3 linked regions of the Neurospora crassa OR74A genome follow. The protein of the gene in region 1 interacts with the protein of each later gene in a pairwise test. Links are inferred from orthologs where the notes say so. Each region holds a gene or a part of one and is shown in the gene's direction. Other genes may lie near its edges. The genes, in order: chs-4, NCU03637 and NCU08067.

The links.
Region 2: the proteins of chs-4 (region 1) and NCU03637 interact in a two-hybrid assay, tested with the Saccharomyces cerevisiae proteins (2 studies listed by BioGRID, with this or other methods). The link is inferred for Neurospora crassa OR74A from reciprocal best matches to the Saccharomyces cerevisiae genes CHS3 and STE24.
Region 3: the proteins of chs-4 (region 1) and NCU08067 interact in a two-hybrid assay, tested with the Saccharomyces cerevisiae proteins (2 studies listed by BioGRID, with this or other methods). The link is inferred for Neurospora crassa OR74A from reciprocal best matches to the Saccharomyces cerevisiae genes CHS3 and SHO1.

Annotation. Positions count from the first base shown.
Region 1 is NC_026501.1:4,236,956-4,245,272, reverse strand, and holds chs-4 (chitin synthase 4), read left to right. Parts: upstream 1-3,549; 5' UTR 3,550-4,157; coding exon 4,158-7,401; intron 7,402-7,474; coding exon 7,475-7,938; 3' UTR 7,939-8,216; downstream 8,217-8,317. Other genes in the region: NCU16382 (hypothetical protein), read left to right, coding at 1-401; NCU09323 (hypothetical protein), read left to right, coding at 1,426-1,487, 1,716-1,788, 2,131-2,370. UniProt on the Saccharomyces cerevisiae protein: Polymerizes chitin, a structural polymer of the cell wall and septum, by transferring the sugar moiety of UDP-GlcNAc to the non-reducing end of the growing chitin polymer.
Region 2 is NC_026505.1:1,908,249-1,916,269, forward strand, and holds NCU03637 (CaaX prenyl protease Ste24), read left to right. Parts: upstream 1-3,949; 5' UTR 3,950-4,137; coding exon 4,138-4,152; intron 4,153-4,226; coding exon 4,227-4,409; intron 4,410-4,467; coding exon 4,468-5,214; intron 5,215-5,275; coding exon 5,276-5,719; 3' UTR 5,720-5,974; downstream 5,975-8,021. Other genes in the region: NCU03634 (hypothetical protein), read left to right, coding at 776-1,477; NCU03635 (60S ribosomal protein L38), read right to left, coding at 1,817-1,866, 1,970-2,098, 2,182-2,215, 2,299-2,328; NCU03636 (hypothetical protein), read left to right, coding at 3,027-3,078, 3,136-3,269, 3,345-3,428; NCU03638 (hypothetical protein), read left to right, coding at 6,264-6,337, 6,420-6,768; NCU03639 (lipase), read right to left, coding at 7,673-8,021. UniProt on the Saccharomyces cerevisiae protein: Proteolytically removes the C-terminal three residues of farnesylated A-factor mating pheromone. Also acts to cleave the N-terminal extension of the pheromone. Does not act on Ras.
Region 3 is NC_026501.1:153,720-162,238, forward strand, and holds NCU08067 (osmosensor protein), read left to right. Parts: upstream 1-4,317; 5' UTR 4,318-5,559; coding exon 5,560-5,709; intron 5,710-5,787; coding exon 5,788-6,096; intron 6,097-6,157; coding exon 6,158-6,667; 3' UTR 6,668-7,397; downstream 7,398-8,519. Other genes in the region: NCU08066 (amino acid transporter), read right to left, coding at 26-609, 668-747, 817-890; ro-10 (RO10), read left to right, coding at 2,070-2,292, 2,363-2,793. UniProt on the Saccharomyces cerevisiae protein: Plasma membrane osmosensor that activates the high osmolarity glycerol (HOG) MAPK signaling pathway in response to high osmolarity.

The DNA of each region.
Region 1 (8,317 bases):
CATTTGGGTACCTACCTCTAAATATGGTGATTCCCAGCGCCAGCAATATTGAGCTCATAACTCACCGAACAGCTGTTACGAGAAGGCACTATACAAGTAACGGCCGGCGTGTAGGAGGGCAACAAGCATCTCACATAGCGCTCAATAGGTATTTTATCCTCCCGTGGTTCGCTTTACTGCGATGGAGGAGACTTTCCAGGGTCCCGGTGTTTAGCCCACCATTGTTACTGTGCGGAGTGCTCCATTGCACAAAGAGAACTCCATCAGACGGCCGGGCTTCCGGACTGTCGGGCATGAAGGTCCCCGTACGAACTTCTGTGTTCATTGGTTCTCACAAAATCTTGAAAAAAATTGATGGATCTGGTGGTGACGATAGGGGTGCAGTTTGGCTAGGCTGCTAGGGTACTCTAGCTACTCTAGCTTGCTTCACAGGGTTGGTGAGACTGGCGGGATTTTTTTACATACAGAACATGGAAGAGCGGCGGGGTTAGTGTTCACCAACCCGGGCTTCGTAGCACCCCGCGCCTTCCCCGTGGCCTTGGGACATCGTCCCGTTTGTCCGTTCTCCCGAGCTTGTGGATAGGCATCTCTATCATGAAATTTTCCCATGCAATGATGCAACACGCTTTACAGGTAACCCCACGGCAGACCGTACAGGACAACACAAAAGAAAAATTCATGAATTGTCAAATGCCGGCCGCTAACAACATCGGGTAGAAATGTGGTCCAGCAGAGACGGTGAGAGAATCCCTATCTCGGATATAACATGATGCGGCTTGTGTGGACAATGAGAGGACTTGTCTTTTGTTGCATCGTTTGCTCAGAGTCAGCGCAACTTCGTATCGATGGATAGTGTCGAGGTCAGCGTGACCACCATCACTTTGACGCCCATTTCGCGCAATACGAAGCTGACGGCTTGCCCTTTTGGGGAACTGAGAAAGGGCATGACCCAATCACAATTTTTTGATCCTACACAACCCCCTTGCTTTCAAAATATTCGCCGTCGACGTTTCGACAGTTGAAACGCACGCTCAACACAAAGCCGATGAACAACAGGGAGATAAACCTTGTATGGTTAGTTCTTCTTCGAAAGTTACACCAATATTCAATACAAAAAGACTTCTTTCGACGTGCGAGTCGCACGTATCCGGGTAGACCATCAAGAGACGAAGAGCCTACTCTGGCCACCTGCAATTGGGTTGCACGACGCGGTGTAAGGAGTGTGGGATGGATGGCTTTAGTTAGCGATCACACTGACTGAAGAAGATCGCTACTACTTCAATATCAACCCCGTGGGGACGGACCTATGTGAGGTTTTTCCCTTCTCGCACGGTAGTGGATATTGGAATCTGTGAATTGCTACTAAGAAGTTGGTCCGTCTTATCCATCCAAGAACAACCACAAAATTTCAAACAACACACAAGCATGCCGAGCAAGAGAAGAACTCGTCTCAAGATTCTGACCGCTACATATGGACGAGACATCTAGTATGTAGTGTAAAAGGGGATGGGGAATAAGCGAGAATATCTCGCGCGCTCCATGCAATATATGTACTGGGTCTCCGTAAACTTCTCCCTGGTGGTTTGCCCAGACAAGGCGGGGGAAAAACGTGGGTACCACGGCTCGAGACTGGGGTCATGGAGGTTCATGGAGTTCATCTGAATTCCAGGGTCCATGAGTGACAAACTGCACTACTGTACTTACTTTCACACTAGTTTACGGTGGGGACGTAAAGCGAGATTGACGCTCCCAGACGGCCTCATTCGATGGAAAATCACCGAAAATGAGGTAGCCCCGCCTTGACCGACTGCTACCGGGCTTGATATTGTTAATTAGTGATCTAAGAACGAGGAGGGGCTTCATCGGATACGAGAGACCTCATGCCGTCCATTCTCTTGTTTAGTTGTTCAATATCCTCCAAAAGCGTAATCATAAGAGGGGGGGTGTCTCACGTGAATGACACACAGCACTCACCAGTGCCCATTTAGTGTACAATACAGGGAAGAATCAGTGCGGTGGATCCGGGGTGTGCCCCGCGTTATCCCGACGTCAATGACGGTGAATGTCATGCATGCCCGGCTCGGCGTGTTGATGCACATCTTTTATGCACATAATACTATATTTATATAGAAATTCCCCATTGCACTATGGGAGACCGCGTCCGGAAAGACACAAATCAGGTTGTACACAGTAATTTTGAAACCGAAGAACTCAACTGGACTTCTCAAGGCGCCACGGTTTGCGCGCGAGTTGTGGGCGGGATCACACGCTGTGCTCATCTTTTCTCCAGCCGCAGCTGAGGCTCGCTCCAGTCCAGTCGAGCACTCCATCGCCGGAAGGCTACCGGAGCTTTACACACTTCTTGACTGAATTGTGAGATGCTTTAGTGGGCGTGACCGGCGCCCGCATTTGAGCGCGGTACAGCCACTTGATATACCGCAACTCGGTTTCAGTGTTGCCCCAAGGCTCCGGGCTAGTTCGGGGTAGTTTGCGATGGCAGCCATTAAGAAATGAGATGAACGATGCGTCCCGTGGCGAAGCCGGAGACATTGATTGATCAAGAAAGAAGACTGAGTGCGAAGTATGCATACAGTGGGGAGTTTCGTGAGGTTCCAGAAGCGCACCGTGTCATGCGGCTGGGATTCCACTGGAGAGCGGAGCGCAGATCGCCCAGAGCCACTGCCCCTGCACTTCGTTGTGGTAGATCATCAGACGAAACAATGAGAGGCAACCTGAACATCAACTGTCTGTGAGTTCATTGCCAGCTACCTACGTCTATGTAAACAAGCCGGAAGTTTCCCTCCAATTTCTTCCATGTCACCTCGGACATCATGCCGACCACACTTCATCAACCCGTCTCACATGTTGCAACTTTGCCGTGCCGTTCGTACCAAACCCGTTCCTGGGTGAACATCGTCCAATCTTTGCGCTTTGGTCTAGAATTGTGACTAGGCCACTTGGAGTTCCCACTGCCATCCTAGAATAGTTCAGAGCTACATCCCAACAGGCACAGAGGCGGTGTTGCGCATTTTAGTAATTCGAGTTCCCCACCGGCTTTATGAGCTCTTCACCTTTCTCTCTGCCGGATTTTGTCCATTCTGTAGCTCGTCGTGAGGTCATGCTTTGCTTGTACTAGAAGTGACGGTTGATGCCTCTGGTGTCGACCTCATCCACGCCGTCTCTGTGCTCTGCACATTAACATCATAACCACCGAGCTACTGCATGGACTAAGCAAGTACGGTACCCGTAAGATCGGTGCTTGGTTGCATCGACCCTGCCTTCCCGCCGCCATCCCAAGTATTCCCTGGCACTTGTACCTGGGAGAAGACGCCCGGCAGCTTGTCAGAGCAGGGACCATTACGATGGAACGGTCCGCTCTGCAGAACGTCGAACTTTTCAGAATTTCGCAGGGCAACCATCGCGAGCTGGGCGCTGTGGGGTTTTAGCCACGCGCTGGCGCGGTAGGTGTTTGAGGGAGAACACGACCTGTGAGAGTGGAATCGAGGAATCTGGATTGGAAAAAGGGACAAGAAAATCGAGCGGGTTGGGCGAAGTTGGTTGCCATAGTGCGCAGCTGATTGCCAAGTGGAATTCCTTCCTGGTCGTCGGGTTTCTCTTAGAGGCTCCTTGGCTCCGTCATGCCCTGGAACGAAACAGTCCATCAAGTTAACAGGACGGGCGTTTGTCATTGGTCCAACTGTTAAGAGCGCCTGCGCCCCCCTTCTACCTTCCCCTTCTGCCCTTCCCGTCTCCTGAACAACACCGTTCGACTCTGCTTTTAGGCCTGCCTGGGCGGCCCACTGCAGTATTCCCAACCTCCCTCGTCGGTTCCGCATTGCAAGCAATTGGAACTGGGACGAGCCGCGTTCACAAAATTTGTAAGTTGGGTTCTCCATAGTAATCTACCTCTTTCCAGTCTGCTGGTATTCGGTATAGCTTGAACTGTGCAAAACGACCGACAGTCATCAGTTCCCTTGTCTTGGCCGAGGCTCATCTCGTCATTTCCTGGGCCGACTGACTGCTCCTTGCAAGTTGCGACGCGGCCAGTGACGTTGGCTCCAGTCTTCCACGACAAACCTTCTTCACCAAACATACCAGCGACTCTTCAGCCTTGCATCGATCCCGGACTCACTAACCGTCCCGCTCCATACAGCATCATGTCTCTTCCTCGGAGGCCGGGGCCGTCGCCTCCGCACGAGGAGCCACGCCGCTACCGGCAAAGCGGTTCGCGCCGCAGTCGACCACCACCCGCCGATGTTGAGACCGGATATGCTCCCATGGCAGGAGAAAGACCAAGCCAGCAGCAACGCGTACCATCGATATCTTCATTTCCGGAAACCCTCCCGTCCCCCAACCCCAATGTCGAACGAGACCCTTTGGCGCCCACCCCCGAGCCCGCACATCCATCCGGCATACCTCAGCGGAAGAGGAGTTTGATTCGACCGGAGCGCAACAGGATTGGCAAAGACCACCCCAACTATCACTACAGAAAACATGCGGCCAACATGAACACCCTACCGTCCTCAACCGGACACGACCCGATATACGAGGATCTGGAGGGAGCAACGGACGATGTATCGGGAACTGGCTCGAGGAACGACGACGATGTTTCCGAGGAGTCGCCCCCAAGAAGAAAGCACTCGACGAAAATGCAGGTCATCGAAACTGAAAAGTCCGGTGATGAAAGACGACGTCGGCGGAAATCGGATACCACAAAACATGGTAAAATTGTCAAGGCCTCCAAGGGAAAGCGCGAAAAGTCCGGAGGACTCCCTACCCCGAGCTTTTGGAACATTTACTGCGGATTCGTCACCTTCTGGTGCCCTGGCTTTGTCCTCAAGTGCTTCGGCATGCCCGAGATGGCTCAACAGAGGGCGTGGAGAGAGAAGATGGGTCTGATCAGCATTATTCTGCTCATCATGGGCTTTGTTGGCTTCATCACTTTCGGCTTCACCCAGGTGGTCTGCGGTAAACCTCCGCTCCGTTTGCGCATCAATGAGGTCGGGTCAGGATACATGATCTTCCACGGATCTGCATATGACCTCACCAAATCTCACCATCCTCCGGCCGAGGGTATCCCGCGCCGTCCGGACGGTTTGGGTGCAAACGTGATCTATGACTTGCCTCAGCATTACGGTGGACAGGACGGCAGTTTCTTGTTCCAGAACGTCAACGGCAAGTGCAAGGGTCTCATCACCAAGCAAGAGAACTCCGATGTGCCAAGCGATAAGAGCGGCAATCTGGCGTGGTACTTCCCTTGTAACACGTTCAACCAAGATGGTTCATCCAAGCCCAATACCACGATACCTTATTACCTGGGCTATGCCTGTCACACGACCGCTAACGCCAGGGACTCTTTCTATCTCGGCCTCAAGAGCTCCGCCGATGTCTACTTTACGTGGGATGACATCAAGAACAGCTCTCGAAACCTTGTTGTGTACTCTGGCCATGTTCTCGACCTTGATCTGCTTCACTGGTTCAACGACACTCAAGTCACGTATCCCGCCCGCTTCAAGGAGCTGAGGGATAAGAATACTGCTGGAAACCAGGCTATTCGTGGACGCGATATTACCCATGCTTTCCAGTCGAGCAAAGACAAGCAGATTGCCGAATGCTTTGAGGAGATCATCAAGGTCGGTTCGGTGGATACCGAGACAGTTGGCTGCATTGCGTCAAAGGTCGTTCTCTATGTGTCCCTCGTCCTTATCCTCGCGGTCGTCCTCGCCAGATTCGTCTTGGCTCTAATCTTCCAATGGTTCATCAGCAAGACGTATGCGGCTGCTAAGACCTCCCAAACGTCTGACCAGCGAAAGCGAAACCGTCAGATTGAAGACTGGACTGAAGACATTTACAGAGCTCCCCCAAGGCTACCAGGGGAGGTCGGTAGCAGTGTCGCTGGAAGCTCCGATCGTCAAAGCAAGCGCAGCAGTGCTTTCTTGCCCACACACTCTCGTTTCTCCACCGTCTACGGCAATGAGCGCGGCAATAGGAAGCCTGGACTTCCTACAACCATGGCCAGCCAGAATGCCGCTGGTCAACTACTCCATCCTGGAACCATATACGGCCAAGGAAATGAGAGTCGGTCAAGCTTCCTCAAATCTGATGCTTACGGATCAAGCAGCAGTCCAGCAGACGGCCCAGGTCCTGCCGGATTTATTCATGAAGCTGTCGTTCCTCAGCCGCCTTCCGACTGGATGCCGTTTGGTTTCCCCCTCGCTCACACCATCTGCCTTGTCACAGCCTACTCCGAGGGTGAGATGGGCGTTCGTACCACTCTGGACTCGATTGCAATGACGGACTACCCCAACAGCCACAAGGTTATCCTCGTTATTTGCGATGGTATTATCAAGGGCCACGGAGAGGAACACTCAACCCCCGATATCATTCTCGGCATGATGAAAGACCACACGATTCACCCCGATGACGTTGAGCCATTCTCTTATGTTGCGGTTGCAACTGGTTCTAAGCGCCACAACATGGCCAAGGTCTACACCGGCTTCTACGATTATGGCACTAACTCTGCCATTCCTCTGGAGAAGCAGCAGCGTGTTCCTATGATGATGGTTGTGAAGTGCGGCACTCCTGCTGAAGCCTCCAAGTCGAAGCCTGGAAACCGTGGCAAGCGTGACAGTCAGATCATCCTTATGTCTTTTCTCCAGAAGGTTATGTTCGACGAGCGTATGACGGAGCTAGAATACGAGATGTTCAATGGCTTGTGGAAGATCACGGGCATTTCTCCTGACTTCTATGAGATCGTGCTCATGGTTGACGCTGATACCAAGGTCTTCCCCGACAGTCTCACGCATATGATCTCGGCCATGGTCAAGGATCCTGAAATTATGGGTCTTTGTGGCGAGACCAAGATCGCCAACAAGCGAGCAAGCTGGGTTTCCGCCATCCAGGTATTCGAGTATTTCGTCTCTCATCATCTTGCCAAGGCTTTCGAGTCCGTCTTTGGCGGTGTCACCTGTCTTCCCGGATGTTTCTGCATGTACCGCATCAAGGCACCCAAGGGTGCCCAGAACTACTGGGTCCCTATCTTGGCCAACCCGGACGTTGTCGAACACTACTCCGAGAACGTTGTCGATACGCTGCACAAGAAGAACCTCTTGCTCCTTGGTGAGGATCGTTATCTCAGTACGCTCATGTTGCGCACGTTCCCCAAGCGTAAACAAGTATTTGTGCCTCAGGCCGTTTGCAAGACGACTGTCCCCGATGAATTCATGGTGTTGCTTTCGCAGCGCCGCAGATGGATCAACTCGACCATTCACAATCTGATGGAGCTCGTTCTTGTGCGCGATCTTTGCGGTACCTTCTGTTTCAGTATGCAGTTCATTGTCGGTATCGAGCTGATTGGTACCCTTGTGTTGCCTGCCGCCATTGCCTTTACTTTCTATGTTGGTGAGTAGCCACCAACCCCAGTTTTCTCTTCCTTTCTTGTTTGACCAACTGAAAACTAATGTCCGATACCTAGTCATCATCTCAATCATCAACTCCCCGCCACAAATCATTCCTCTTGTTCTCCTTGGTCTCATCCTCGGTCTCCCAGCCATCCTCGTCGTCGTCACAGCTCACAGCTGGTCCTACATCATCTGGATGTTTATCTACTTGCTCTCCCTGCCCGTGTGGAACTTTGTTCTGCCTACCTACGCTTTCTGGAAGTTTGACGATTTCTCATGGGGCGACACGCGCAAGACGGCCGGCGAGAAATCAAGCAAGGGTGGCCACGGAGAAGCCGAGGGAGAGTTTGATAGCAGCATGATTACCATGAAGCGCTGGGCCGAGTTTGAGCGCGACAGGCGCGTCCGCAGCACGTACTGGGCCGGCTCGAGGGACAATGTCATATCCGGGGTAGGGGGTAGTAATGGGTGGGGAAGCAGCCAGCCGAGAGGCCATGAGCAGGGGAGACACTTTGATGACTACTTTTCGGACGCTTAGGTTTTGATATGGTGTTGCTGTGTAGGGATGCCTTTGTTTTTTTTAAAGTATTACTGTTGTAGGGTAGGTAGGGTCTTTGTTCGGAGGTCAGGTGTTTGTTGGAAAAGAAGGGATCCGATTATCGAACCTGCCGGCCTCGGTTTCTTTTCATCACGTTCATCATGGACAAGGGCGATATTAATGTGGAAGTTTTGGTTGATCGGTTGGCGGGTGGGTTTTCTGTCGATAGGATTAACTCTTAGACATTATTATGTGGAAAAGATTTATTTTTCTTGGCATACATTCGTGATGGGATACCACTTCTTCCGTTCATCTATCCAGTCACAAGAACCGCTCATGAACTTCGCCATACTGCATCAGTAAGGAAGTAAGCACGAGC
Region 2 (8,021 bases), on another chromosome or scaffold:
AAAGGCGGCGTGTGGCATCACCCAGAAACTCGCTTGGTCCAGGACAAACATCAGGCAGAGTCTTGGAGAACAACAAGAGGCTTCAAAAGTCCAAATCTTTGCCAAAGCTTTGAATTCCAATTGACATACACTACGTCGGATGGTCACCTGAACTTCCCCTTGTCTCGTGGGTTTGTTAGCTCATTCCTGGCTACATATCTCTGGGGCCTTGATGACAGCCTCATTAGTGGGTGGGTTCGACATGTTTGTCGAAGTGCATACATGAGTTGGCATCATGCACCGAAACCCGAACACTGGCGATGCCCGACTCTATCAAAGATCGTGGGCCCATTTCTCGTCATGTATACGACATCAGCAGGGATTTGATTAAGACTGTCCAGAAGAGTCGCAAGAACTCATTATCGCATCCATACCAGTGTTTCTTCTTACATACATCTAGCCTCAGATGACGGCCGGCAGAGCCTCTATTGATGTTGGTTGAACGACAGGGCATCATAATGATTCTGTTCTTTGGGAAGTGGGGACGCGGATGGCATGATTTATAAAGCAGGCGCATATTGTCTACTGTGTATGGTGTCCCAACTGTGCCGCATGATTACGAATTTGGAGGTAGCCTAGCTTGCGTTTCGTATCGTCCCGAATGAGCGAGTCCGAATGAACTACAACCATCACACATAAAAGCTGTGTACGGATTCAAGTTTTGCTGCATTTTGAAGCGTTCAGACCGCCAAGCTCACAACCTGGCTTTATCACTAACGCAGAACATATTTCGACGATGACTGTCACTGAAATTGCCATCATCCAAGTACACACCGGGATCACCGACTCTACCCTCCGAGATACCTTCAGCAGGGCCATCACTGCCCAAGATGCATGGTACGCTCGCGCCTTTCCCGACCGCCCCTCTTCCGCCTCGGCACGGGCCGTGGCTTGTTTCCGGGGGATCGACGACGAGACGCAGATACTTCTAACAACGAGTTGGGGCTCGGTGGAGGAGCATTGGGCATGGATCCTCAGCGACGATAACAAGCAGCAAATGGAGGGCTCAGACTTGACCAAGATCATCGCAAATCAAGGGCCGCCCAACCAGCCAGGCGGACTGATTCTTTTCCACTTGGATACGAACATCTTTGGGAATAACCAGGCCACTACCGCCAAAGACGTGATTGCACTCCTCGATAGCCCGGTCATCAGTGTCGAGAGATTCTTGGTCGACACTGAAAAGAAGGAGAGCTTTGCCGCAACGCTGCAGAAGGTGGAGGCGAGTATGGAAAAGGTCGTGCATCCTCACTTGGTCAGAAGCGGGCGCAGTGTCGATCGCGAGACGGGAGGTGAGGAGTTCGTATTGGTTTCCGGGTGGTCCTGTGTCGAAAGTCATACGCAAGAGTTCGTTGCGTCGTCTCAATCTTTCCTGTACAGTCAGCTTGCTGGTATCGCTTCGTCGGTGGAAACACAGCACTACAGACGGTTCCTGTAGTGCCCTCTTTGTCACTTTGACACTTGGTTGGGAAAATGCGCAAGTCTGGGGTCCAAGAATTGGTCGCTCATGAATGTGTATTCAGACCCTCTGCAAGGGGTTGGTTTGCGGTCGGTGAGACCTTGACAACTAAAGAGTCATCACGCTGCTCCGAAGACCTGCACCTGCTCTCGCAAGTACTCCTGTTCCCAATCCCATGAAGGTTTCCCCCGATCCGAGAACGCCGTCTTAGTTCGCGAGAATTAAATGTCCAGCACCAGAACCAGGCAGTTGAAAATCGTCATTCACTCGCTTCCCGTTCGCGCCAAAGCAGCCATCAGTTCCTCATTGTCGAGAGATTTAAGCAGTCTGCTTCTTGTTGCGCTTGGCAACGTCGGCGATGGTCAGGGCTGTAGTTTCGCATGTCAGTTCCATCCTTTTCTCGCAACTGCTTTTTTTCCGGTTTGTCCATCTCTCTCTCGAGCTATTATTCGGGGGTCGGGGAGCGCGTACAAGGAGGGAGGGAAGCCTTGAGCTTCTCAGCCTTGTCGGAGTCCTTGAGAACAAGGGTGTAGAGGTACTTCTGGCAGCGGACCTTGAACTTGATCTGCTGAGTAGCCTTGTTCTTCTTAATCCGGGCGGCTGTTGGATCAAAGCGTCTCTGTTAGAATTTCGTTCGGTTTTCGCTACGGTGTTTTCTCAGGCAGGCCCTCAGCCAAACGTACCGGAAGCGTCCTTGCGCCGGCAGATCTCGATGAACTGTAGTTGAAATCAAAGTCAGCAAAACAGCCCATTTGCACCATGCATGCACAAATTCAGCATGACGACGGGCATTTCCGTACCTTCTTGATATCTCCGATTTCCTGAGGCATTTTGGCGACTTGGTGCTGGACTTCCCGTACTTGTGGTGACGACGACAACGGAGTTCAGGAGCGTGGATGAATTTTAGGTACTATGGAAATAATTTTGTGTGGGTTTGGGGCCTGGGCGGTGCGAGTGGCTTGGTGGGGATGCGTGCGGGCAATGGGCCGCTAACGCGATGCACCCTTGTTTCCGCTGTCACTTCCGCCAGATCACACCTGCCGACGTTAGCGCAAGCTCCAAGTGTGGCTGATGCTGCACTTTTGGTAACTGCGTCGACTTTGGGAGATGCAGTGACACAGGGAGCTCGTGTGGCGTCGACTTACCTCAGTCGCAGGCAGTCACCATTAGACCATCTGGAACATCTGACGGGATTGCGCGGCAGTTCGCCTTCAAGCTCGGTCGCATCTGGTCGAGGCCTCGGGAGGACACGATTCCAGTTTGTGTAATCCAGATAGTATATAATCAAAAACTAATCACGCGGTCCTAATTGTAGAGCTTCTTTTGTTCCAAACCAAGTGCCACCTCATCAGACAACTCAGTTAGGGCGTTAACGTTTTGTAGTAGTGCGTCTACCCCTCTTGCCTTACCACCACTTATAACGAAGACAACCCTTTTCCGAACTACTCGATATGCCCACGGCACTAGATAAAGCGTTGAGATCACGAGTGAGTACCTCTTCACAACAACACAACATCCCGAAGCAATCATGCTTGTCGAATCTCTTCTGATAGTTTCCGCGAGCAAGAACGCATTTCTTGGTGAGCTTCTTTTTTAACAGTCGGGCAGTCGACCGAAGCTTGACTAACCCCACATAGCATTCGCCGGCATCGTGACGGGTGTCGCCGCATGGTCTATCTTTGGAGGCGAAGTGTTTCCTCAAGACCAGGCTGACCCAAAGGGCAATCCTGAAGAATGGACTCGCGAGGAGATGCGCAGATGGCTTGCACTGGTGAGTTTTCAAGTTTGTTAGAAGCTGACGCAGAACTCGAAGCTAATGTTGTGAGCTAACTTTGATGATCACCAGCGTAATCTTCATCCACAAGATTCGGACACCCGGGAGCAGTTACTGGAAAGGATCCAAGCGAACTTGAGAATCCCAAGACAGTGAACTGGTCGTGCTGGAGAAATCGGAGGAGCCCTATGATATGTTTATACCCCTTGAAGAATACCTAGCCTGCATTTATCTCTGTTCCATGTTCTTGAGGACATTACTATCTTCATAGCATGCTGCCCGGCGATGGTGTCGTCAGCTGGCTAGAGGACACATGGCTGTTGAATCCTGTTCTCCCATCGTACTTGCATACTCGTGATCCTAACCGCTAAATACAAGATCATAAACCGGAAGCCACACGATATGACTACATACTATAGACATCGGGAAATGCGCCTTGATGACAACAGGAAACACTGTTATGTTCGGAGATCTGTAGGGTGACCCGGCAACATGCGAACAATCCAGCGTTGCGTCCGGGTTCGCGGCGGGGGAACCTCTACGACCGGGCTTATCGATAAGATTTACCGAGCGGGGCGAGCGCAAGGAGAAGTAGCCCGACCCAATCAGCATGTGTAACTTCTAGTGTTGGCGACTGCGCCATACACAGCAGGGTACGTAGCGGTACATGCCTGCAAGGAAGCTCCAAGCGAAACTGGGGCAAGGACAGGTTGTTGTTACTGTTTGTACCTTGCCTGGCATTGTGCTTATAACCAATGCGGCGGACAATCTGACACGGTCTTTTGGCTTTCATTGTTCCAACAAACAAACATTCCATTTGCGCATTCGGCGGAGCCTCTAGTAGACACGCCCTTATTGCGCGACGATGGAGTTCCTTCAGGTACGTTTTGCGAAATCCTTCTCCTCTGACATCCAAGGCGTGCACCGGCTAACATGGCACTCTCAAAACGACAGCGTCTCGCGAGGTTCCTCGACCGGCCTCTCTTTCCCTGGAAGAAGCTGATCATCGGCTTCTCCCTCGCCAACTACTTCATCGAAGGTTTCCTCGGTTATCGTCAGTATCAGGTCCTCAAGAAGACCAAGGTCCCCAAGGTGTTGGAGCATGAGGTGTCCCAGGAGGTCTTTGACAAGAGTCAGGTACGATATCCCCTAGGCTACGGGCCAACCGGCCACCATTCTCTGACACACGATACAGGCATACGGACGCGCCAAGGCAAAGTTCGAGTTCTTCAGCGGTATCTACGGTCAAATCCAAAACATCTTGTTCTATCAGTTCGACGTCCTCCCGAAGCTATGGTCATTCGCCGGCAACCTCCTCGTTCGGTTCGCGCCAGCCAGGTTCTCCGGCGAAATCTCGCAATCTATCGTCTTCGTCCTGTCCTTTGTCGTCATCTCCCAGATTCTCTCGCTACCGACTAGCCTCTACCACACTTTTGTCTTGGAGGAGAAGTTCGGTTTCAACAAGTCGTCTGCCAAGCTTTGGATTACCGACAAGATCAAGTCCCTCTTCTTGACCTTCGTTCTCACGCCTCCGATCCTCGCCGGCTTTTTAGCTATCGTGCAAAAGACTGGAAACCAGTTCTTCTACTATCTCTGGGTTTTCGTCGCTGGTCTCCAGGTTGTCATGATCACCATCTACCCGATTTTCATTCTGCCTCTGTTTAACAAGCTCTCTCCTCTTGAGGAGGGTGAGCTCAAGAGCAGCGTGGAGGATCTCGCCAAGAAGCTCAAGTTCCCCCTCTCCGAGTTGCACGTCATTGATGGCAGCAAGCGCAGTGCCCACAGCAACGCTTATTTCTTCGGCATGCCCTGGAAGAAGCACATTGTCATTTATGATACCCTAATTGAAAAGAGCGAGACCCAGGAAGTTGTTGCCGTTCTTGCACACGAGCTGGGTCACTGGAAGTTGGGTCACACCACTAGTCTCTTTGGCATCTCCCAGGTAAGCTGATGCTGCTTTGTTATCCCGCTGTTTACCACGAATTGTGATTGACAATGCATAGGCCCACTTCTTCGCCATTTTCTCTCTCTTCTCCGTTTTCATCAACAACAACTCCCTTTATGCCGACTTTGGCTTCCACACGGTGCACCCTATCATCGTTGGATTCCTTCTCTTCTCGGACGTCCTTGGCCCTACCGACACCCTCATCAAGCTGGGCATGAATGTTCTCAGCCGCAAGTTCGAGTTCCAGGCTGATGAGTTCGCCAACAAGCTTGGCTACAATGCGGAGCTCGCTCGCTCCTTGATCAAGCTCCAGATCCAGAACCTCAGCACTATGGATGCTGATTGGATGTTCGCCACTTACCACTTCTCGCACCCCATTTTGACCGAGAGACTGAAGGCTCTCAACTGGCAGTCCACTGGAAAGGTTGAGGGCAAGGAGAAGGCCAAGGATGGTGAAGAGAAGATTGATGTTGCTACTGCCACTGGGCGGGATGAGCTCTAAGCCAGTGAAGGATGATGCAAATGAGAAGGTGGATGAGGAATTGATAAATAAGGCTGACATGCGCGGGATCACAAATCAAAGGAAATCAGCACACTCAGCGAAGAGTACCCTACTCTATATTGCTTTTAAATCTTCAATTTTTGATAGACAATCTAGAAAGAATCTGGCTTCCATTACTGAACTGAACAGGACGGAGTTCATCAACCTTGAACCTGGAACTTGTTATGCGGTTCATTACCGAATGCAGACCATATTGTCGAGGTAACACAGATGAAATACTTAACCCTAACCCTTGCTTCCCACAGTAGCAGCTGGCAACCGGGTGCAAAAAGCTCTCCCCGGACCCCGGCCGATCAATCGAACTTTGGACGGAGCCGATCCAGCAACCGCGCCCGCTCGTCGCGAACCACTCTATAGGATCCCCGAAACGCTTTGTGTTCGTCCCGGCGCATTCGGTCTCGCCCGGTCCTGTTCCACCCCCGCAATCCTTTGACGTCGACTACCACCACTACCATCATCGGCGACAACCACATTTGTAGACAAAATGTCCAGGATTTTCTCGTCGGCCCTCCAGGCTGTTTTCAAGCCGAGCGCTTTTCTTCCCAAGACTGCCACTCGGTACGCTGTTCTGCTCTTGCCTTCCCTCCCCACCCGCATGCCAAAACACAAACATAGTAACTGACCACTTCCCTGAATACAGCTCATTCTCCATCCTCCCCTCCCTCCGTCCCGCCACCTTGTCTTCCACCCCCAGTACCATCTTCCGCGCCCCCAACGCCATCACCGCGCCCTCGGCCTCCCCTAGTGCTACTACCGGTATCGACGGCGAAGTTCTCGACCTCCTCTCCGCATCCTCCCTTATTTCAAGTCATCCGGCGCTTAGCGGGTTGGGCTCCCAGATCCGCTGCGGCCCGCGCCCGACGATGAGCGGGGCGACGAGGCTGGTGCAGAAGCGCAGACACGGTTTTTTGAGCAGAGTCAAGACCAAGAATGGGCAGAAGACGCTGAAGAGGAGGCTGGCAAAGGGGAGGTTGAGGTTGAGTGCTTAAGTGGCTAGATGCTTGACTGAGGCCTGCGGGATGTGAATGAGTGGAAATGGAAAAAAAAAGGAGAAGGCGGAAGTAAGGAGACACAATGGAGGGTTCGAGGAGCAACTATGTCGACGACGGCTGCGGTACCCCTGGTCTGGCACGCTGGTTTCTGTTCAGATCAGGAGTTCATGAAGCTCCAGAGACGGTCAAGGGATTGCGCTTGGTCTCCTATTGTTTACGATCCGAGACGAAATCGCATGCCGAAAAGCATCTCGCAGCTACCTTTTCAACGACCACTCACTCGACCCTGATAATCATGGCGACCTGGGGAGGCAGGTATTCTGTGGCCCTCTCTACTGGTACAACTGGAACCGGTCATGAAAAACTGCCAACAGCACGGAGGACCTTGGAGGGTTGCGAAATGGCCGGGATTTTGTGCCGCAAGCAGTCGATAACCAGATCAACCCGAACGTACCGCTACGAGAAACTTGTACACTATGATAAATACGACCTGTTATACTCACCACTTTTACCAGCTTGTTTTGTACAAATTTTCAAGATGTAAGACTTTTTTTCTTTTCTTCCACACCTGGCGTGATCACTTTTGAAGCTGAAGAACTGGACTACGTTGTGTCATGATTGTTCGCTCTGTTTCTGCGATACGACGTCGCTTGTTGTTTCGCTTTGAGTTCGGCCCTTCTTGACAGTCCTAGGATCACTTTTTGCTACCAAGTGGCACTCAGCAGCTAAGAACAAACGGCCAACACAGGTCACGTCCAATCATGGCAAGGCATCCATGAAGGTGATTTCACTGGCGTCTCATTGCTACTATTCACAAAGCTGTCTTCCAAACTTGTATTCACAAATCATGCCTTATTTCACTTTTTTTATTGTGATTCCCACATTGCAACCCTTGATGCTCCTAATGAAGGTCGTTGCTATTGACAAAATTTACATCCTCGACAACCCACTGGTTCAAGCGAGACTCGAGCTCCTCGTCACTGACGTCGCTAGATGCGACGTTGGATTCAGCCCTCTTCCAGTTGAAGCCGCCAGGCGAGCAACCGGCAATGTCCTCAAAGTAGTGAAGGTGGTCATCGCGTTTGAAGCCGAGGGTAGCGGCGTTGCAGTCGATGCTGGCATAGCCGGGGCAAATCTTGACCTGGCTGGTGGTGGGCACAGCGGCCTGGATCCACCACTCGGGGGAGGTGTGGCGGTAGTTGAAACTGATGGGAGGGAGACGGGGCACGGGGTCATTTTCGTGGGTGACG
Region 3 (8,519 bases), about 4.1 Mb from region 1:
GGGGGGCCAGAGTCGCTGTACTCACATTCTGATGGCAAGTATACGCAAAAATCATCACCGGCAGACTGCTCAAAGCAGCCACCGGTCCCTCCCACGTAACCAGCCTGATGGGGCCCCTCTCGCTATGGTCATCCACCGCATAGTGGTAAACCACCAGGATGATCAGATACCCAATCGAAAACAGTGCCACCAGACTCGTGTATTTGAGCGAATCCAGCTTCTTGGGAAAACTCAGCGGGATGAGAAAGACGACAAAGAAGACGGTGATCCAAAACCTGCGGTCAGCCAAAAAGTCCCAGCCGGTATTCCCCGCTCCGAACGCTGCCGCCACCGCGGGCATCAGATCACCGATAATGATCATGTACGACACGCCAACACCGAAGCATTTGATAGCAATGGCCGCGTCGAACACCACGGCGGCGTTGGGATAGGTGATTTGCGACAGCGCGAAGAAGGAAGACGAGCCCCGGTCGAGGTAGCGCGTGCAGCGTGACTGGAGATAGAGACCAAAGGCAGAGGTGAGGCCGCACCAGACGATCAGGATGACGCCGAGCGTGACGCCGAACTTGGACATGGCGTGGGGCATGGCGAGGGTACCGGCCCCGATGACTGTGTTGTTGCCCGGTTAGACATGTCTTTTTTGGGGGGCGAAGGTCTTGGGACGCACTGGTATTCAGCAGGTTGATGTTGCTGCTCATCATGGAAGCTTGGCCGCCACCCAGCTTGGGGGCGCGGAGTCTTCGTTGTCTAGACATTGCGCCGTCAGCTATGTCGACCAGAAGAGCCGGAACTACCTAGGTAGTCGCGCAAACGTACTGGACCATGGTTCCTCCGACACCGTGACTCGACCCTAGAAGGCCGCTGTTGGGTATAGTATGATAGTTGGTCATATCACTTTTTCTTTCGGGGGACCGTCTCGTGGTGTCGCGGGATGTTATGTTGGTTTGGATAAGTGATGGGTTTCGTAGTCGGTGCTGATACGCCCAAAGCCTTCAGGAACGAAAAGACGGAAGGAAGGGGGATTCGACGTATCGCAACCGGATCGTAATCGCCGGGGTCGATGAGGTGCTCGAGTCGAGGCTTCAATGAAGATAAGTACCGAGTGATGGTGGGCAGTCGGCGCCGTCAGTTGTCGTCGACTGTCATCAAGTCACAGCATCGGGGAAAGCGAGTGTAAGTCTGCAAAGCAGCAGCAGAGTGCCTATTCGGGGGCGATTCGATCCGATGTTGGATGGATGATATGGTCGCGTGTTCGATAACTCATACGGGAAGAAAAAAAAGGGATCGATGATGATGACGAGACTTTATTTGTTAAGAAAAGTAGAAAAGCCAACTTTAGCGAGCTGACAAGGACATCCACGCAACGTGGGCAATGGAGAACAGCGCCAGCACAGACGGGAATGACGGGTCTTCCTTGTTCTGGGGATTCGATGGGGGTTCCAGGGAAGGTGTCAGCTACCTCTACAGAAAAGGTACCGCGAACGCCAAGCTCACTGTCATTGCTCAGTCACACGGGCCTTTTGTTTCACATTTGTACATAGTAGGTACCTACGGGTTCGGTACCTTACTCCGTCACTAACTCCACACCGCAGCACTAACATCCAACGAGTGTAATTTACGAGTGAAACAAGATCGTTCAGGGGAAGAGAAGCCTTCCAGGTGGATCAGCGGTGAACTATCGGGGGTCATTGAAATAACAAGATCAAAAAAGCCAAGCTCCAGCCTTATGAGAGTTTACAGTGGTAGGTAGCTTGTTCAGTGTTCCACTGTCCAGGAGCAGGGCCTTGTGTTGTCCGGGCACCAGTCGCTGTCCAACGGGCGGTGTCCGGGATGCGGAGGCGGGGTTGAATTGAACGGTATGTTACCTTACAGCCTTACACGACCCGTCATCGGTCTAGACACGCGCCGTCAAGGTTCTTTTTCCTCTGGACAATTGCCACTGCTTGAGCTCAGCTTCTGTTTACCATCTTAATTCATCTTTGCGACATCCCCTCGAGGCGGGTATAACCGATACCACCGATACCGCATCGCATAACCCCAATTACCAACAGAACTCGCCCACCAACACCATGGACGTCTCCCAGGAAACCTCAAGCCTCGACAAAACGTCTCTAGCCACCATCTCCCTCCTCGAATCCCGTCTCCGGCGGATCGAGCACATCCTCTACGGCCCCTCCGACCCTCCAACGCAAGCGCCCTCTTCCTCCGCAACGACCTCTCTTGCCCAGCTTGAACACCGCTTCAATCTGCTCATTCGGCGCTTTCGCGTGTACGCCGAGCTGCTTAAAATTCGTACGTCCCTCTCTGTCTCCCACCTTTCCATTTCGCATCACTTCAAAGCTAACCAGAGGCCCCAAACCAGACAAAGCCAACCCCACACTCTTCCACACCTCCCCCTCGGCCGATCAAAAGCTCCCACCAACGGACCTCCCGCCTGCTGCCATTCTCGCGACAGTCCTTTCCTACGCCTCCCAGTTTCCCCAGACCGCGTCCGCCCTAGTTGCAGCCGCCCCAGCCAACACCATTGAATCCGCGATTCCCGACAGCAAACTCTCGGCCGAGTTGGCGAGCTTGATACCCCGGATGAAGGGACTGGAGGCCATGCAGTTGGCGCAAGAGGCGGAAATAGCGGAGCTCAGGGAGAGGAGCGAAGCCGTGATGAAGGCATGGTATGAGAAGAGGGTGCTGGGGTACGGCAAGTTTGTGGCGGAGGGTGAAGCGAGGGTGGAAAAGTGCGAATTGAGGGTAAGGAGAGCGGAGAGGGTGAGGGAGATGGACGCCGCTATAGAGTGAGAAGGCAAAGAGGAGGTTCGAGACAAGATTATGCGATACATGGCTAGTGAAGCGGAGGAGCATGGATTTTGGCTTGCGGGAAACAAAACTCACACGGAAGCCATTTTACCGCCGCTAGAGAACGGCGTCACGATTGATCAACAGGTTAGGCGACCGCGAACAAATCACTGGGGTTGTGCGTATGGAATACGACACGCCGTTGGTAGCGCGCGTGCACTTTACGAAGTGTGAAGAGCAGATCAACAGTGGTTGGCACATTCGTACGAGAACAATGCTAGTGACCAAGGGAATGGGGCAGATGTCATTGCGCGGCAGATATCACGCGACAGATGCGCGGGAGTCGGGCGTCATCTTTGGCCCACTGGAATGTTCAGCCGATATCAACACTCTGCTCGCCGTTAGCACCGACAAAAACCAGATCGACGGTGCTGTGGTAGCGCTCTATCTGGAATGAGAATTCACGGGAGAGGCTTTTTACAAACGTCACAAACACGCTTGATAGCCGGCAGTGATTGTTTGGCTCCTGCAGATGGGATTCCGAAACGAACGGCGTTGCCCTAGAACTCACGCGGCGAGCCTAAAGCCCCTGCCTGCATGCTGCATGGGTGTGGATTCGTGGCATGGTGAATCCGTCTCTCTGTTGACATTTTCTGCCCGTCACCGAGCTCAGCTGAGTGATGTCGCATGGTAGCCAGCTCTCAGCCTATCATTTACAGTCGGTCACGATGTTTCTGGACGACCTAGCAATGAGTGAATGGAGCACAGACGCAAGCCACATGGCTAGCTGCCTGACTGACTTCCGAGTGTTACAATGTTGTGAATGTTTGAGACTTTTTGACTATGAGTTTGAACAGTGTCGAGGTAAGATATATCAAGATGGAAGAAGAAAACAAGAATAAAAATAAAGATGTCCTGGCCATGACCCAGTACCCTAGAGCCATCATTCACTTTGAACAGGTTAATCACCCAAGCAGAGTCTACCTCTAGGTAGGTATGACTCCCCATCAATCACCACCATCAGCTACAAAGACTGTCAAAAAGTGCAGAAAAAGAAATCGAGCTGCTACAGTAGCCCGCCCTGTGTCTGTGTACCTCTAATTTGCTCCATGCTCCCGTCCCCACACAGCCGCTAGAGGTACAGTAGGTAAGCAGCGCCTGGAATGTCTTGGCCTAACGATTTGCAGTGAGATTGAGGACCGTGCCTCTTCTGACTGGACATTGCATTCATTAGCCCAGCAAATGCAATAATGCGATTGGCTCGTTCGCAGTGTTGCCGCGTGTTGCCCGGACATTGTACCTATGTCACTGCAAGGGAAGGATTCATTCATTGTGCAGCGAGCAGCCGCCAGGCAACGCACTCCAGGAGTCCAGAGCCTCCACAGCGGACATGGCTCCCCCCCATCTTCAGTGGATTCAGTGGGCTCCATTGTTGGTCCCTTCCTCACTTCTCTTGCGCGGTCTCGTCCACTCGTTTCCACAGCAGCAGCCACCTCATCCCCCCCCGGTTGCTGCCCGCCCCGGAGTCCCTCAGCCAGGCCCCGTCGTTGGCCTTCCATTCCGGATCTCCCACCACCACCCAGCCGTCGTCACCCACACCCACACACACACCATTTCCCTTTTCACGTCCCCGTCCGTCCGTCCTGCCCGTGCGATCCCCTCATTTCTGTTCGTTCCCTCCTTCAATTTTTCTTCCCTTTCACTTCTCCATTGGCCGGCGTTGATCATCGCCCCAGCCACGTCCAACAACAATTTGCTCAATCCATCAATCGCTCCCTTCGTTCCCTCAACCTCATCAACCTCGACGACGACGACGACGACGACGACGACGACAGCATACGATTGTCCGACCCTGAGCTGAGCTGAGCCCTTTATTAACGCGAACCGGAACAAGACGGGGGGATAGTACAATACGACGTTGGCAGGTACCGAGATATCACACCCGACTACCGTCATACACCGGACAAACAAAGAAAAAGGGAAACAAAAGAAGAAAGAAAACAGGAAAAAGGAATCCAGGACCATTTCCAGACTTCCAGTGGACTCTTCTACCGCCCTTCTTCCAACTACCGATTGATCTTGCGTGTTTACCGTATCTACCCATACCGTACCGCCGCCGCCATTCGTTCCAACGGACAACTACCGTACCGTCACATCTCCCGACCCGTGCGACCGACTCGTTGCTTATTTCCCCTGAAGATTCAAAGGCTCTGTCCTCGTCTTGAGTGTCCTTGGAGTACCCGACGGCCACTTCCCTTGGACTCAGCCTCCTCTTTGCGGATTGCCAACCAACAAACACCCGACGGAGCAGCCCGACAGCGACCACCCAATCTTTCAATAACATTGCAACTGTCCTACCTTCGACTCATTTCCATACATCGCCCAATTACTACCTACCCATATTTGCAACGACCGAGACGAGCCATACCGCGTTGCTGGACACCGAATTCCTCGCTCAACGTCTTGCAGCAAACGACAATTGCTACCCGACCCGAATTTCTTGCTTCGACTTCGACCACTTGTCGCCGTCGAACTTCCTCTCTTTTTTTTTTCGTGACATTGCATCTGTCATTGCAGAACAAACACATCGCATTACCAACCGCGGACTGGTCCCCGGAATACGACACACACACGGCCCCTCGCCGTCATCTTATACCCCAAGTGAAGGTGTGCGTCAACTAAAGTGTCCCACACACGTCGGTCCATCACTTATAACACGGACCTCGAATATCCCGAGAGGACGCTCTTCCTTGGCGACCTTCGCCCTTGATGCAATCGTACGGAGGATCGGTTAACTATCCCCCGTCCTTCAACAACCCCAAAATGGAACACGGCAGGAACTCGTACCGCCGAAAAGGCATAGACATGGGCAACATTATTGGTGACCCATTTGCTCTGGCCACTACTTCTATTGCTACTGTGAGTTTCCATACGCGCGCGCGCTGGCGTCCACCCTTTTCCCGTCCTGTCGCCTTCACGAACTGACAATCACCACAGCTGTCATGGATCATCATCCTGTTTGGATCCATCTTTGGCTTTAGGGACCAAAATGACGGATCGAATGGGGCTCCCGTCATTGTTTGGCCAACCTACAGCTGGTTCACCCTCGTCTTCAACTTCTTCCTCATTCTCGGCATTTTCATCGTCATCGCCTCGGACAGCGCTCAGACCTACCATGTCGCCATCGTTGGCTACCTGGCCGTCGGGCTGGTCGGCTCCACGTCGTCGATCAACAACCTGATTTACAGTGGCGTTGCGTCCATGGAGGCGACAGCGGCTGGGTATATCTTGTTGTCCATGGTGACGGTATGCGGTTCCCCGCTAACTTCCCCCAGCTGGCTGACCCCATTTGCTAACGTCCCGCCAGATCATCTGGATATTCTACTTTGGCTCCGCCCCATCGGCTGTTCCCCGTGCCTACATCGACTCCTTTGCGCTGACCAAGGAATCCACCCTCCCTGCGCATCACATGAGCCGCCAAACCATGAACCACAACGGTCTCTCCTCTCCCAATGCTTACGGCTCCTACAACATGCGCCCTGAAACCTCGGCCTCGGGCCTCCAGCCTCCGCAAATGTACACGGGTCAGCTCAACGGGCTCGAAAACCCCGCTCGCCAGTCGCAGATTCCCCAGGGTTTCTCGTCCAACAACATCCCCAAGCCGCAAGGAGAAGGGGAGATCGTTCCGCCGACGGAGTACCCGTACAGGGCCAAGGCGATATTCAGCTATGAGGCCAACCCGGACGATGCCAACGAGATTAGTTTCTCCAAGCATGAGGTGCTGGAGATTAGCGACGTGAGCGGGCGGTGGTGGCAGGCACGGAAGGAGAATGGAGAAACGGGTATTGCGCCGAGCAATTACTTGATTTTGCTATGAGCGGGCTTGAATGGGTCGGGGATGGAGTTGAGGTTTTTCTTCGTCTTTTTGAAAAGAGAGGATTTGGCGTGTGAACCGCCAGTACAAAACAAAATCATGAAGTGGTTTTTTTTCTTTTATCTATCTTTCTTTTGAGTCGGCGTTTTATACCCACATTAACGTTACACTTTCTTCTCGACCACCCACGGGACTCGTAATGCGACACACCAAAAACCGTGGCTCGTTTGGAAACGAAGGCGAAACCGGATGTTGGATGCGGACGGGGCAAGGTTTGGGTGGAAATGGAGTTTTTTTTCCCTTTTTTCTTGCAATGTCATTTTTCTATCTTCTCTTACCCTTTTTCTCAATGTCTTTCCTTTCTCGTGTTACACTAGTTCTTGTATCAACTTTACATGTCTTCTATTTTGCGTTCGGCAGCTACGGCAGAGGATAGGCCGCTACTGGAGAATGGCAATGGAAGAGGGAACAGGACAAAAAAGCGGGGGAAGATGGAAATGGGTGCTGTTTTTACGAATTTCATGCATGGCGAGGAACGGAGAGAAGATGGACGGACGGATGGAGGCTGTGAACCCAAAAGGAGATGTACCCACAAGCAGCAATTGAACATCCAGCGGCCGGAGTTGGGGATGTTGGAACTACCTACCTGTAGAGAATGAAGACACAGTCCGCTTGATCATGATATCGATAATGTACCGAGTCCGATGATTAATTGAGCTTGTTGGCTGCCTCCCAATTTGCGGGTCTCAATCGCCAATTTCCAATCTTCATGATGGAGGAAAATCCGAGATTATCGAAATTAGCCAGGAGCGAAGGTGTGGAGATGCGAGGATCTTACCTAACCTCGCTCCAGGTCGCTCATCACCACTACCCATGTCCATCACATCTCGGACAGGGATATTGCTTACATTGTTATGGTCCAACATGGAAACAGCCAGCCACCTAGTGACAAAGACAGCTATGAATGTACACTACATAGGTAGTTTGTTACAATTGTAGTAGTCCGCTAAAGCAATAGCAGATTGGTTGCAAACATGCCCGTCCAAGGAACTGACATCTCTACTCTAGAGGTATTTCCCCAGTTCATTGCGTTGCTCTCTGTTGGTAACTTACGTAGCTTCATCCATCTCCGCACCCAGTTTCATTGTAGGTATTATTCTACGCCGTCACCGCTCTGGTTCTGATGGTACCCATCGTGCCAATCTTCCTCCGTAGGCCGCTTGTGCTCCTTCTCGTCATATTGCTCTTACTATCCATATGTTTACAATTTCCACCACAAGAAACTTGACTATTCGACATCGATGAGGTGTCCATTCTTTCTCGGCCTGGGTTCTTACCTATGTATCTCAAGATTCGCCTATAGCCAGGTCTGAATCATCCGAAGCCGGAAGCGTGGCTCTTCAGCTCTCTCGACGACGACTCTGTTCGCTACCTACGTTTCTCGTCGTGCTCGTTTAGTTGACCTTGCTTTGCCCAGCTCGTGTTCTTGTCTGTGATCGAATAGTTGAGGACGTTTTGAAGGGTCGAAGTAGAGGAAAACGGTGGTAGGTAGTACGGCACTGCTTGGGGGGAGATGGATCTGGGAGGGCGGAAGCTGAAGATCAGGACAACGGAAGATGGGGTTGAAGACATGGAATCTGAAGGCGGGGTGATGCAAGGCACGGCACTAACAGCCCCACAGGGCAGCCGTTAGGTTAGTGCACGGGTTGTCCCACCAAAAGGGTCCACCGTTCAGGGGGCTGCAGTGTCCCCCACAGCGGGATCGGGAAGGCTCCCCCAGTAGGTACATACACACTAAGTCTAGGCGGCATGTTAGGTAGGTACCTATGACGCGCGAAGACAAGAAACGCGACGG